Linked DNA regions of Canis lupus familiaris. The protein of the gene in region 1 interacts with the protein of each later gene in a pairwise test. Links are inferred from orthologs where the notes say so. Each region holds a gene or a part of one and is shown in the gene's direction. Other genes may lie near its edges.

Region 1 (4,496 bases):
CTTCCTGTCCTCACGGGATGTGCTCTCTCTCTCTCTCTCTCTCTCTCACCTTCCACCTCCCTGTTTTCTATTTTATGCTTTTTCTTCTTTTCCTGTCATTGCCATTTCTATGCGTTTTTCTTGAATGACGTGTCTCTGGTTGGGGCCCCTGCGGTCCTCCCCACACTCCTGGCCCCTGGCTGTCTTTTGCTGCTGCCTCCTACTCCTCCTTGCTTTCTCTAATCTTCTCCTGTCTCTGTCCCTGCTGATCTCTCTGCCCCCACCCCTGTTCCACTGCTCCCTCCCTTTCTCCTTCCACCCTCCCTTTCCCTTTCCCTCCCCTCCCCCCCAAACCCCTCTGTGTCTCCCTCTCTCACCCTCCCCTCCTCTCTCCACCTCCCTCCCCCCGCCCCCCCCCTGTCTCCTATTCCCTCTGCAGGAGGCCATGATGGATTTCTTCAACGCCCAGATGCGCCTTGGGGGTCTGACCCAGGCTCCTGGCAACCCCGTCTTGGCTGTGCAGATTAACCAGGACAAGAACTTTGCTTTCTTGGAGGTGAGCGGGTTGCATTGTGGGGTCAGAAGGTGTGTGTTCTTTCTCTGCAGCAGCCTTGATCTGCCCAGGGCCCTTCTGCAGGCTGTGGTACACCCGGCACCCTGATCCTCATCACTGTACCACCACCTTCTCTTTCAGTTCCGCTCAGTGGATGAGACCACCCAGGCCATGGCCTTTGATGGCATCATCTTCCAGGGCCAGTCGCTGAAGATCCGTAGGCCTCATGACTACCAACCCCTGCCTGGCATGTCGGAGAACCCCTCTGTCTACGTCCCTGGTGAGTGGGGGCCTTGTCCCACGCTTCCCTCTCCAGCCCCGCTGGAGCTACTTGGGAGATGGCATGAATGCTTCTCATCCATCTCCCCAAACCTTAGGAGAATGCACAGTGGCTGTGGGAGGTGTTGAGGGAGGTGAAGGGTTTGCTGCCTGGCTGTCATTCCTGCTCTGGCTCTGGGACTTTGTGAGCATAAGCGTGTGAGCTCATAGTGTGAACACAAGCAGTTTCTCAGTGTGGGGTCGGCTGCTGGACGTTCCCTTGTCTGGCCTCTGTTTCTCCTGACTTCTGTGCTTTGGGCTATTCCCCACAGCCACGTTTAGTAGTAGTCTGGGTCAGTGGAGATCATAGCAGACTGGAATCGGTGATCTTTTCCTGAAAAGGGTCAGATAGTAAATATCTTTGGTTTTGTGGGCCATACCGACTGGGTCACCTGGGTCACAATTGTTCTGTTGTGACGTGGCAACCTGTATGCCGCCTCGTGATAGCTGAATGAGTGGGTGTGGCCCTGGTATATTACCCACACGTTGTGCAATAGCTTCTAAAAAACCTTGCAGGCTATACAAAAAGACAGCCGGCTTAACTCGACTTACAGGCTGGTTGCCGTCCCCTGTGGTGAGATGGGTGAAAGTGAGGATTTGTGCCTCTGGGAGGCCCTGTTGGAGTGCAGGGAGCAAAGTGGGCTTGGAGAAGCCAGTGCTGTGGTGGAACTGGGGGGCCTGGATCTTAGGTCCCTGGTGTTCTCCCAGTAAAGGTGGTAGGCATGGATGGTCTGGGCCAGGGGGTGGGGGGGAGGAGCAGAAGGTGGGTTTCTGCTGGCTGAGGCTTCGCCCTGAAGGACACCTTTTAGAAATCGAGTCCACTGCTGACAAAGCGGGGGACATGGAGTCCCAGAGAGGGTGACACCTCAGGACTGGGTGCTGGTTCCCTGCCTTGTTTCCAGTGTTTTCCACCGTAATAAATTTGGTAAGTTTGGTGGATCTAATGTTTCCGGTAACTGAGGCGTATTTTTCGATGTTGACATGTACTAAGTGTTTGATCAGATGATTTCTGTGTGGGTGCACGTCTGTGAGAGCATTTCTAGATGAAGTTATAGGCCGTTGCTTTGTATTAAAGTGAATCTCTTTTTAAGAGTTTACTTTAGAGAAAGCGTGCACATGTGCGCAGGTGGGGTTGGATGTGGGGCGAAATCTGGAGCAGACTCCACACTGAGGGCAGAGCCTGACTGTGGGCTCGGTCCCACAACTGCAAGATCATGACACCTGAGCCAGAATCAAGAGTTGGTACCTAACTGATGGGAGTCAGCCAGGCGCCCCTGTGCAAAATAAATTTAGTGTTTTAAGGTTTATTTTTTTAAGGGTTTTATTCATTTATTCATGAGAGAGGGAGAGTGGTAGAGACAGGCAGAGGGAGAAGCAACCTCCCTGAGACTCACTCCCAGGACCCTGGGATCACGACTTGAGCTGAAGGTGGATGCTCAATCACTGAGCCACCCAGGTGTTCTTTTTTTTTTTTTCTTTTTATAAAGATTTTATTTATTTATTCATAGAGACACAGTGAGAGGGGCAGAGGCACAGGGAGAGGGAGAAGCAGGCTCCATGCAGGGAGCCTGATGTGGGACTCGATCCAGGGTCCCCAGGATCACACCCCAGGCTGCAGGCAGCGCTAAACCTCTGCGCCACCAAGGGCTGCCCCCACCCAGGTGTTAAGATTTTTTTTTTTTTTTTTTAAAGATTTATTTATTTATTTTTATTTGTGATAGAGAAAGAGGCAGAGACACAGGAGGAGGGAAAAGCAGGCTCCATGCCGGGAGCCTGACATGGGACTCGATCCCGGGACTCCAGGATTGTGCCCTGGGCCAAAGGCAGGCGCCAAACTGCTGAGCCACCCAGGGATCCCTTCTTAAGATGTTTTTAATTATATAAGGAGCCTGCTTACTTGTCGAAGCTTACTATGTCAGGCACTTTGCCGAGTGGGGTCCATGGATCAGGTTAGTTTTTGTGACAGCTGTGTAGTACAAAGTCTGCAACTGACAGCTAGGGGTCAAATGTAGCTTACCAGTAAGCCTGTTTTCCTAAAGTGGGCTCTGCGTCCGGTGTGTACTCATGTACTCACTGTACTCCATGTACTTCAGCAAAAGGCATGTGCTCCACCTTCTGAGCCAGCCAGGTGCCCCTTGCCCATTTTTTTAAATAAAGATTAACTGGCACAGAGCCGAGTCCACTCGTTGTCTAGCGTCTGTATGACTTTTCTGCAGCAGCGGTCAGTTTGGATGAGAGACCCCGTGGCCCACAAACTGAAAATGTTTGCCACCCAGCTCTTTGGTGAGAGGCTTGCCAGCCACTGTTGTGTGTACCGCGATCCTGTTTCAGACCGGAGGAGAGCAAGGCAAGGCATGATAATGGTCTCTAGAGTTGGTGCTGTGCGGTCTTCCATAGCACCTTCTGACACAGGCCCTTTACCGTGTGGGAACAGAGACCTCGCGGGTCAGGGATAGCTTGTATTGGATCGTCTTCCCAGATTCATGGGCCCCTTTCTAGACGTAACTATTGGCGTGACTAAGCAGCTGAAGCGTGGGTCATCATCCATCTCTGTTCTTTGGGATTTGCTCACCCAGAGGGACCTGAGGGTCTGCAGTACTAGTGCCTGGGCAGGTGGCAGGAAGTGTGATTGTGCTTGTAGATTGAGCATCTTCTAGTTACCTTTTCATAGCGAAGTTCATATTTCAGTCTTCATTTTTTGGTTTAAAAAAAAAAACAATTTTATTATACAAGGAGGCTAAAGAGGAAAGCATGTGTGATAAAATTTAGCAGATGTTCTTGGCTGGAAGAGAAACAGTTCAGGAACCTGGAAGGCAACTTTCTGACCTTGATGGAAATGTGTTGATTAAACATGCATCACTTGGGGTTGTGAAATCTTGAGTTCATCTGCCCCTGAAGTCAGGCCTTGCTGTTGAGTGCTGGTGACAGGATCCTGGTGGTTCTTTGAAGACAAGAGGGAGACTGAGGTGGGGGGTGGGCCAGAGCTGTCTTTGGAAGCAGGGGAGCCCAGTAGTTATTCAGTGTGAGTTCAGCTCAGCTGTGAGCACCCGCCCACTGCCATGCCAGGCTCCCTTCCCCGTGCAGGGCCGAGTCCTAATCCCCCCCCCCCCCCCGCCCCCTCATCAGGCTCCTGCCACTGGGGCCTCACCCCCATGTACCCACTCCCTTATACCCACTCCCTTGGCAGAGTCCTATTCTGCCTGGTCTGGTGGTGAGTGCATGGTAGGAGAAAGTGGTATTCTAGGCACAGGGAAAGATTGCTCAGCCTTTGGGGGTCTAGTGTGGCCTTCAGAGAGGAGGTGTGTGCCAGGTGGACCCTCTGAAGGAGTGGATGTGTGGTCAGGGAGGAGGAGCCTGTCCATCCTTTTTTTTTTTTTCTTAAGATTTTATTTATTTATTCATGAGACATAGATAGAGGCAGACACACAGGCAGAGGAAGCAGGCTCCATGCAGGGAGCCCAATGTGGGACCCGATCCCAGTTCTCCAGGATCAGGCCCCGGGTTGAAGGTGGCACGAAACCACTGAGCCACCCGGGCTGCCCTGCCCATCCTATTGGGAGCGGATGTTGCCAGGGGCTTGATTTTGGGCACTGGGATTGATTGGTATCCCCATTTTCTGGCTGTGTGACTCTGTACGATAATAGTC
Region 2 (5,086 bases), on another chromosome or scaffold:
CTCTCTCTGTGTCTCTCATGAATAAATAAATTAAAATTAAAAAGAAAGAGTTGCCAGCTTTAACAATAGCCAGCCAGGTGCCCCAGTACTCTTTTATAAAAAGTAATATAGTTTATAAATATCATTTAAAAAAAAGGAAAAAATAATGTAATTTTAAAAAAAGACCTTATTCATTTATCTGGCAGAGAGAGAGAGCACAAGTGAGGGGAGGAGCAGAGGGAGAGGAGGAGTTGAAGGCAGCTGAAGGCAGACACCTAATGATTGATTGAGACACCCAGGCGCCCCTCCTTTTCTTTTTTTGAAGTAAGCTTCATGCCCAGTATGGAGGCCAGCCTGGGGATTTAAGCCATGACCCCGGAGATCAAGACCTGAGCTGAGATCAAGAGTCACATCTGCTACCAACTGAGCCATCCAGGCACCCTCCCCCCAACAATGTATTTTCAGACTCCCAACAACATTGTATTTGGGGGCAAGGGGCAAAAAGAAAACAATGCTGTTTAATCTGAAATTCTTCTTTTTTTTAATTTTTATTTTTTTAAGATTTTATTTATCCATTCATGAGAGACACACAGAGAGGAGGGCGGGGGGGGGGGGGGGGGGGCAGAGACACAGGCAGAGGGAGAAGCAGGCTCCATGCAAGGAGCCCGACGTGGGACTCGATCCTGGGACTCCAGGATCATGCTCCGGGGCGAAGGCAGGCGCTGAATCTCTGAGCCACCCAGGGATCTCTTAATCTGACATTCTTTAGAAAAATACACCTGTCAGAAAAGGCAAGGAAATATAGAAGGCAATGAGAATTGGCTTGCCCTAACAGATATTAAATATAGAAGTATTCAATAGATGCCGTAGCAAAAGAACAAATCCACGCAAAAGACTGAAAAAACATATTATCGTATATATAAAATTTCATAAATGATAAAGATGGTGTTTGTACCAAAGGGTAATTTATTAAACGCTGAAGGGAAAACACGAGTTTGGATTTCAAGTTAATCTGCAGTCTATTAATCCTACCAGCATGTGAACTCACTAGAAAAACAGCGCTGCGGGCTATCCACTGAAGAGAGTCTCCTCACAGCTCCAAGACCCGCCAACGGGGTCAGTCAGCGGTCACGGCCCACTCCGAGCCCCTCACCCGCCCCTCACCTCCGCTCTCCCGCCCGGGCGCCGGCGCCCCCTCGCGGCGCGCCCCCGAAGCCCCGCTTTGAAATCAATGGTTGGCACACAGACGTAAAACCACCGGAGAATTCTCCACATGACCTTTGGGATGAACCATTTGCCTTTTCCTAAACAGGTAACTGAAACATGAAGCGGGCCAAAGTTGCGGGCTTCGGCGTCCTCTCTCCTTGGCCAGAGGACGCGGCTGGACTGAGGGAAACACTTGTTTAATTCCCTGACTCATGCGTATTGTCCTGTAGACTACCAACCTGCCCACAACAAACATGAACCTCCTCTTCCCAATTCCGCCCCGATGCGCGCTTCAGCCGCCATCTTTCTCCAGGGCAGGGCGCAAGCAGGAAGGTCACACCCTACCTGTCTCCGATAACGCCAGACGCCTCGAAATCCACAAGAGTCCAATTGGAACCGACGCTTCCACCGGAACAGCTTTTCTACACGACCGGAAGGGGCTGTGCGTGAGGGCGTTGGGGGCGGAAGTGACGGGAGGGTGGTAGTGGGGTAGTTGGCGGGTGGTTGAGCAGAGCCGGTCGCCATGTCCGCGGGGAGCGCGACGCATCCCGGGGCTGGCGGGTAAAGCTTTCGTGGGCGAGGGCATCGCAGCCCGCACGGGGCGGAGGAGAGGCGGAGGGGCCAAAGGGAGCTGCCTGCGGGAAGTGGGGGGGCGCTGAGGTGGTACGCGTACGTGTCAGAGGGCTGGGCTTAGGGGGAGGAAGATGGTAAGCAGGCCTTGGGGCGCCCGAAAAAGGCCGGCAGGGAAGGGGGGGAGGAGGAGGAAGGCCGAGGCTTTCGGGAGCACCGGCCAAGAGAAGATGAGAACGAGGGTATGTGGGACTGACTGGAGCGTTTTGAGAGGGAGGAAGGAAGTAAGGAGATACTGCAGCAATTGTGTCTGTTCGGGGGGGGGGGGGGGGGGGAATGGTAATTTTAATATTGATAGAGACTCGAGGGTGTAAAGAGAACGTGGTAGCGGGGAAGCGGGGTGCCAGAGCGTGGTAAGGGAAGAATGATAGAAAAGCTTCGAAGCCTCACGTTTTCCTCTTCCTTGTAGACGCCGCAGCAAATGGGACCAGCCAGCTCCAGCCCCCCTTCTGTTCCTCCCGCCGGCAGCCCCAGGTGCGGAGGTGCCCAGCAGTGGGGGAAGCCCTGGGGGCTCCGCGGCTGCTCCTTCTGGAGCCTTGGACGCTGCTGCTGCTGTGGCTGCCAAAATCAATGCCATGCTCATGGCCAAAGGGAAGCTGAAACCAACTCAGAATGTTGCTGAAAAGGTATTTGAAGTTGAAGGGACTCTGTTAATTGTAACTTTAATTTTGTAATTAAAGGCTACTTAGTAATTCTGTAATTAAACAATTATTTGTGTTAAGGAGAAAACAAGGTTACAGTAATTTAAAGATCACTTAGTTTTGGAATGCATCATGTGATATTATGTCATTTGTTTTCATGAGGCAAGTTTGGTTGGTTTGATTACATTTATGGACCAAATAGTTCACTTTGTCTTCGCTCACGTAGTTCAGCTTAACTTCTATCTATGTAATCATTTAAAGCAATGATGCGAAATTTTTCAATACTTAGGCTTTTTCCCTGAAATCCAAAGAGATGTTCAGGTAAATCAAGTGACTTTAAAATGTCTCTAGTCAGCTGTACTAAAACGTAAATACATACGTACAACGTCCTTTCTAGTTAGAATCTATAGATTTTTAATAACTGCCTACAGTGTAGTTCAATGTGAAATGAAATGGATAATTTATATGTTGGTGGTTTTGCTGTTTTCACACAAACTGAAATTATTTGGTCATTTTAAAGAATTTCTGGTATAATTAAAATTTCACAACTAGAATAGATCTGAACTTTGAAGTCTTTATCTTGCAATGGAAGACCAACTTTTACAGGATGATGAGTATAGTGGCTGTTTGTACTGCTAGACTGCATGCTTTGCGCTTAAAAAAATCCCTTGCAGCAATTTGATGGAATGGATTACTGTCGCCAGTTTACAGAGGAGGAAAATAAGATTCGTGAATGTACATTGTATAAGATCTGTCAAGGCAGACATCTGACTTCAGAGTCAGACAATTGGGTGTCTAGCTTTTGTTTGAAAGTGTCTCTTGGGCAACCCTAGTGGCTCAGCGGTTTAGCCCTGCCTTCAGCCCAAGGCATTATCCTAGAGACCCGGGATCAAGTCCCAGGTCAGGCTCCCTGTATGGAGCCTGCTTCTGTCTCTGCCTGTGTCTCTGCCTCTCTCTTTCTGTGTCTCTCATGAATGAGTAAATAAAATCTTTAAAAAAAAAAAAAAAAAAGAATGTCTCTAGATTTGGAGAGTTCAGTTCTAAGGCAGCTTAGCTCATTATAATACACATTTGAAAAAAAAAGTTCTTTGACTTCAATTAAAAGTTGAAGCAAATAGATGGGTTCTGTGTTTAAAAATGCATTTTGGGGGTTCCCTGGGTGGCTTAGCGGTTTGATGCCGGCCTTTGGCCTAGGGCGCGATGCTGGAGTCCCGGGATCGAGTCCCACATCGGGCTCCTGGCATGGAGCCTGCTTCTCCCTCTGCCTGTGTCTCTGCCTCTCTCTCTCTCTCTCTCTATGTATATCATAAATAAGTAAATAAATAAATAAATCTTAAAAAATTAAAAAATAAAAATGCATTTTGGGTGAGTGGTGGATGTGTTAATAGCATGTTTGTGGTGATTATTTCCAGTGTATACATGTATCAGATCATCCGGTTGTTCATCTTAAATATATACAGTTTTTATTTGTCTATAATACCTCAGAGTTGAGAGGGAAAGATGATAGAGTTTTTTGTTAGCTGTCCAGTTTATAACATCAACAGAATGGCTATTATCTGTTTGGATGTTTACTCAAGTTCTGCAGAATTGATGGGAATTTTTAGTGAGTTGGAAGTTCATTATTCATCGTATTTTTTTTTTTTTTAAGATTTTATTTATTTATTCATGAGAGAGAGAGAGGCAGAGACACAGACAGAAGAAGCAGCAGGCTCTATGCAGGGAGCCTGACTTGGGACTCCATCCTGGGTCTCCAGGATCACGTCCTGGGCTGAAGGTGGCACTAAACCACTAAGCCACCAGGGCTGCCCTATTCGTTGTATTTTTAATTGTAAAGATTGAGTCAATTGTCCATTTTTAAGTTCTGAAAGGAAATTTTTATTTCTTTTAAGGTTTTATTTATTTAGTCATGAGAGACACACAGAGAGAGGCAGAGACACAGGCAGAGGAAGAAGCAGGCTCCACGCAGGGAGCCCGATGCAGGGCTCGATCCGGGGTCTCCAGGATCAGCCCCTGGTCGCTAAGACGCTGAGCCACCCGGGCTGCCCGCTGCAAGGAAATATTAAAAGCACACTGACAAAGATGGAATGCTCCTTCAGTATTAAAATTATTTTTCTTTATTTTTTATTTTATTTTCTTGAGTGTTAAAATTTTTAACGCTGATGTTAATCCTTTATTCCTTTTTTCCCCACTTCTAAAAAGCAATTGAGGGGCATCTCTGGGTGGCTCAGTGGTTTAGTGCCTGCCTTTCGCCCAGGGCGTGATCTTGGAGTCCCGGGATCGAGTTCCGCATTGGGCTCTCTGCATGGAGCCTGCTTCTCCCTCTGCCTGTGTCTCTGCCTCCTCTGCCTCTCTCTCTCTCTCTCTCTCTCTCTCTCTGTGTCTATCATAAATAAATAAATCTTTAAAAAATAAAAAAATAAAATTTGAATTAAATTTTAATTCTTATCACAGCATTTGGACATGAGGCTGACAGTGGCCATGCTGGATGGCCAGGTAGAGAACACCTGTGTCATCACAGGATGTCCTGTGGGATAGCACTGATCTGTACCTTTGGTGGTGGCCAGTACTGAGCAGGGCCTAAACAAACGTGAGATATTGAGTCTAGTTTGTGTCCACATTTTAAAAATATC
Region 3 (5,146 bases), on another chromosome or scaffold:
CCTAGGTCCTGGAGATATAAAGACAATGTGAAACAAAATGCCTTAGGCCTTTTTCTTCTTTAGGTGAAAAACAGACTTCAGCAGGTTCTGAGGCCTGCAAGATCTGCTGCCAAAAAATATTCATTCTTTACTTCAACAGATACTTGTTTAATTGTGCCACGTGCTTCTGTAGGCATTTAGGATATATCAATGACAATGATTCCTCTCTTTAAGGAGTTTATATTCTAGCAGAGGGAGTCAAATGATAAGCAGTAAGCATAAATAAACTAGTACTGATATGGTAGGTGGTACGAAGTTCTATGGAAAAAAGAAATATAAGGGGAATTGAGAGTGCCAAACAGGCTTCAGAATTTAACAGGGTGATCGGAAAGGCTTCACTGAAGTCATATTTGAATACAAATTTGAAGGGGATGGAGGAAGCAAATCCTATACTTGGATAAAGAGCAATCCATGTAGAGAACGTCAAATCCAAAGACCTTGAGGTGAAATTATCCTTGGCATGTTCAAGGAGTAAAAGGGATTACGATTCTGGAGTTGAATGAGTGAGGGAAAGAGTGGTGGTAGGTTGAAATCACAGAGGTAATAGAGTGGCACATTTTACTCTGAATTGTATGAAGAGCCAAGAAATGGTTTTAAGCAAGGACATAACGACCTTTCTGAGGTGTTTACATGGTCACTATAATAGCTGCCTTTCTAGTACTAGATAATTTGCTTATTAACCTACATTATGAGACAAAAGGGGGACAGACTGGAAGCAGGAGGCTCCTAAAATAATCGAAACATAAAAATGAGAGTAGTGGAGGTGGTGAGAAACAAGTGGGTTCTGTATGTATTTGAAAGCAGGACCAACAGAACACAGGAGTCCAGGATGATTCCAAGATTATTGGCCTGCCGAAACTGTAATACAGTTGCTCTTAACTGAGAATGAAGACTTGGAGCTGGTATTTTGGCAGGGCGGATGCGGTGTGAAATCATGAGTTTAGTTTTCATTATCGTGTAAACTTAAGATGTGTTCCAGACTAAATAGGCAATTGACTATTATATGTAATATAGCTTATTTAACTCTATGAAAAGCACTGTTTTAAGTGCATTACCCTCATTCTGTCATTGTTGACCTCAGAGCAGCCCCTGTGAAGAGAATTTTTTTTAACAGGTGAGGAAACAGGGCTTCAGTAATTTGCCTGCTTTCATAGCTAACGCGTGAGATCTAGAATACAAATCTCGGCAGTCTGACTTTAAAGCCCCTGTCCTTAGTTTAAGCAATATCGATTTTCAGAGGATGTCTGGCATATGGCAGTAGGCAGTCAATAAGTATTACGCCAATGAATGAATGAAACCATAAAAGGCACAGATGGAGGGCATGCTATCTTCGGAGTCGTCCTATGTTAGTCATTTTTCTTGGTGGTCTCTGACACTACACTTAAGTAAGGGAAAAAGGTTAAAGTGGTGCCGCCTCTCAAGATGGTTTACTGCCTACCAGAAAGGCTCAGTTTAGCCCGAACCCAGAAGCCTCGCTTTTTAAAAAAAAATAATAATAATAAAAATTTTTTTTAGATTTTTATTTATTTAATCATGGGGGGGGGGGGCGGGCAAAGACAGAGGCAGAGGGAGAAGCAGGCTCCATGCAGGGAGCCCGACGTGGGCCTCGATCCCAGGTCTCCAGGATCACGCCCTGGGCCCAAGGCAGGCTCTCAACCACTGAGCCACCCAGGCGTCCCAGAAGCCTCGCTTTTAGCGCATTTATTCACACTGTGAGTACTGCAAGCCCAATTTCTGCTTCAGGCAACATTAACTTCGCAGTAATCTAGTTACCAGATTTAGCTGGAGAAACCCAAAGACGCAGGAACTTTCATGCGCAAACTTTACTGCCCTGGCACGCATGCGCTCCGCCGCAGAGAAAGTAGCTACTACGGCTGCGCAAATCGGTGGCCCGGCCCTTCGCCGTCACATGTGGGGGACCGCGGCGTGGCGGCAGCTGTGGCGGTAGCGACGGCAGGCCGTAGGGCGGTCCGAGGGTTTCCGGTTCCGGTGTAACGTTCGGGCTCCGTCTCAGAGGCTGAAGTTTGTGAGGTGAGTAGTGCCCCGGGCCCTTTGAGGGTATCCTCCTGTCTGAGCAGCGAGGGCCGGGACTCAGCCCACGGGGAGGACCGAGGCGGGAACGTTCAGTGGGAAGGAAGCTGAGAGAAGTACAGGGTTCTGAGGGAGAATGGGTTGGAGTGAGATTGTGAGGAGGAAAAGGGCGGGGGCGGGAAGGGGACGGGGTGGGGAGACTAGCTGTAAGATGAGGAGTTTGGGGAGAACAGGGTGGGGTAGGGAACCGGTCGGAGATAGCAAACAGAAGAATGGGAGTTGCAGGGGGGAAAGTCAGGTTAGCAGGGAAGAACACGGAGTAAGGAAATTTTTCAGAAGATTGGATTCTCCTACCTGCTCAGAGATCCTGCCTTCCTCTACTTCCACCCCCGCCCCGCCCGAGGCAGTTATTGTCGAACATTTGATTAGTGACAAAAAGCTAGTTACTGTTTGAAACTTTTATTTTTGCCCACTGACTGTTTAATTTCCTAGAGGATTGGGTTGAAGTTGAATACATTTGTTAGTATGGTACTTGAGCACACATTTCATCTGATAGAGCGGTACGTGATTTGTTCTTTGGATTTTCAAAATGCTTACCCTTTCTAGCCCATGATTCAATTCTGGTGGAATATAAGCCCCATTAAGGCGAGGATTGTCTGTTCACTTGTATCCTCAGCACACAGTACACTGCTTGAGACCTAGTACTTATGCAGTGTTTATTGAATGATTAAGGATTATTTAGATATGGCAATTGGCTTCATTTTGTACGACAAGTAAACTGAGGCTCAGAGGAATTACTTGCCAAATAAGAGTTCGATATTTCAAATGTTCAGTGTGAACTCTTTTCTTCACTCATTTTGGGGTCTGAATCTGCTTCTTTTGAGTAACGTACATTTAATATGTATTGATTTATACACTATACTGCTATATCATGAGAGGTGAGTAGAGCTGCCATAGAATTATTCATATAACATGTCCTGAGGCACACAAAATCTTTCACTCCTATTTTCATTACGTTAATCTACTAGCTTCCAGTGGTTATACCAAAATTAAATACACAGTTTAGCAACAGGTCTTATAGAGAATAAACCTGCCAAGAAAGTAGAAGTTAATTAGACCATCTTTTAAGAGAAAAAAGATGTCTTAAAATATCTTGAGGGGTGCCTGGGTGGTTCAGTCAATTTGGCATCTGCCTTCAGCTCAGGTCATGATCCCAGCATCCTGGGATCAAGTCCGGATTCAGCTTCTCCCTCTCCCTTTGCCTCTCCCCACCGCTCATATGTTCTCTCTCTCTCAAATAAAGTCTTTAAAAAATAAACAAAAAATCTTGAAAGATTGACTCTCAGAGACCCTGATTTGTAGCACTGCTGTGAGGAAGTTAGCTTGAAAATTGAGGTCAGTGCTGTTTATTAGCTTTAGGCACTTAGTGAGAAAATCAGGGAAATAACATTTTCTCTCTGCTCATGAGCTATGCTATTTTTTTTTTTTTTAAGATTTATTCATGAGAGACACAGAGACATAAGCAGAGACATAGAGGGAGAAGCAGCCTTCTCGCAGAGACCCCAATGTGAGACTCGATCCCCAGACCTGGGGGGGATCACTCCCTGAGCTGAACACAGACGCTCAATCACTGAGCCACCCAGGCATTCCAGGCTTTACTGTTTAACTAGGAGAGCAAAATGTAAACATGAATAATTTTGAAGAATTGCTAACTTGGGTAAATAATTAAAATTTGTTATAGAGAGTTCTTTATGATAATGTTTTCTCTGCTAAGCTAAAAGCTAAAAAGAAAGGAATAAAGATGTAAAGGGAGAGAGGAGTGCCTAGATGGCTTAGTGGTTGAGTGTCTGCCTTTGGCTCAGGTCATGATTCCACGGTCCTGGGATTGAGTTCTGCATCAGGCTGCCTGCTTCTCCCTCTGCCTATGTCTCTGCCTCTCTCTCTGTGTCTCAAATAAATAAATCTTAAAAAAAAAAAAAGAAAGAAAGAAAGAAAAGGGAGAGAAAGCACATCCAAAATGAGGGTATTCTTTTCTGAGCTGAGGGATTAATTTTGTGAAGTCAACTGATAGAGATCTCGTAGAACATAAAATGATCTGGGTACAGAATTTCCATGGGGATGACTATGACTACAGAGAAATGTGACAACATTCTTAGGTATTATGAACTTTATTGTTTTTAAAAAAATTATTTATTTGAAGTAGGCTCAACACATTCTCAATGCGGGGGCTTGAACTCCCAACCCTGGGATTGAGAGTTGCATGCTCTACTGACTGAGCCAGCCAGGTGCCCAGGATGATGAGCCTTTTTTTTTTTTTTTTTTTTTTAAATAACCTGGTGGAAGGCCAGTGGGAGAGGGAGAAAGAGAATCCCAAGCTCCACACTAGGTGTGCAGCCCAGTGTAGGAATCTCAATCCCATAACTCCAAGATCATGACCTGAGCTGAAAATCAAGAGTCGTATGCTTGACTCACTGAGCCACCCAGCCACCCCAGATTAAGAGCTTTATTTTATTTTTTTTAAGATTTTATTTATTTATTCATGGGGCGGGGGGCAGAGATACAGGCACAGGGAGAAGCAGTTTCCATGCAGGGAGCCTGATGTGGGACTTGATCTTGGGTCTCCAGGATCAGGCCCTGGGCTGAAGGCAGCACTAAACCACTGAGCCACTTAGGCTGTCCAGATTAAGAGCTTTAATATTGGATGGCTTACCTGGATAAGCCCTCCTTCTTTTTTTTTTTTTCATCTCTAAAAAGAAGGGAAACCGGGATCTCTGGGTGGTGCAGCGGTTTGGCGCCTGCCTTTGGCCCAGGGCGCGATCCTGGAGACCCGGGATCGAATCCCACGTCGGGCTCCCGGTGCATGGAGCCTGCTTCTCCCTCTGCCTGTGTCTCTGCCTCTCTCTCTCTCTCTCTCTCTGACTATCATAAATAAATAAGTTAAAAAAAAAAAAAAAAGGAAACCTACAGGTCAAGGCTGGGTTAAGGAATACCTGCCTGGAAGTAGGAGGAATAGAAAAGCTGGTCTTTGGGTAGGCTTTTTCAGTCTTGTTTTCAGGTTGTATGTTTGCCAATCTTT

The links.
Region 2: the proteins of U2AF2 (region 1) and KHDC4 interact in binary tests that used the Homo sapiens proteins (3 or more experiments, as listed by UniProt). The two-hybrid records come from large-scale screens. The link is inferred for Canis lupus familiaris from reciprocal best matches to the Homo sapiens genes U2AF2 and KHDC4.
Region 3: the proteins of U2AF2 (region 1) and PRPF3 interact in binary tests that used the Homo sapiens proteins (3 or more experiments, as listed by UniProt). The link is inferred for Canis lupus familiaris from reciprocal best matches to the Homo sapiens genes U2AF2 and PRPF3.

The regions. Positions count from the first base shown.
Region 1 is NC_049222.1:102,846,952-102,851,447, reverse strand, and holds part of U2AF2 (splicing factor U2AF 65 kDa subunit), read left to right. Parts: intron 1-418; coding exon 419-535; intron 536-673; coding exon 674-812; intron 813-4,496. UniProt on the Homo sapiens protein: Plays a role in pre-mRNA splicing and 3'-end processing. By recruiting PRPF19 and the PRP19C/Prp19 complex/NTC/Nineteen complex to the RNA polymerase II C-terminal domain (CTD), and thereby pre-mRNA, may couple transcription to splicing.
Region 2 is NC_049228.1:41,859,467-41,864,552, forward strand, and holds the start of KHDC4 (KH homology domain-containing protein 4), read left to right. Parts: upstream 1-1,624; 5' UTR 1,625-1,708; coding exon 1,709-1,746; intron 1,747-2,224; coding exon 2,225-2,441; intron 2,442-5,086.
Region 3 is NC_049238.1:60,207,923-60,213,068, forward strand, and holds the start of PRPF3 (U4/U6 small nuclear ribonucleoprotein Prp3), read left to right. Parts: upstream 1-1,684; 5' UTR 1,685-2,070; intron 2,071-2,362; exon of another isoform or gene 2,363-2,630; intron 2,631-5,146. UniProt on the Homo sapiens protein: Plays a role in pre-mRNA splicing as component of the U4/U6-U5 tri-snRNP complex that is involved in spliceosome assembly, and as component of the precatalytic spliceosome (spliceosome B complex).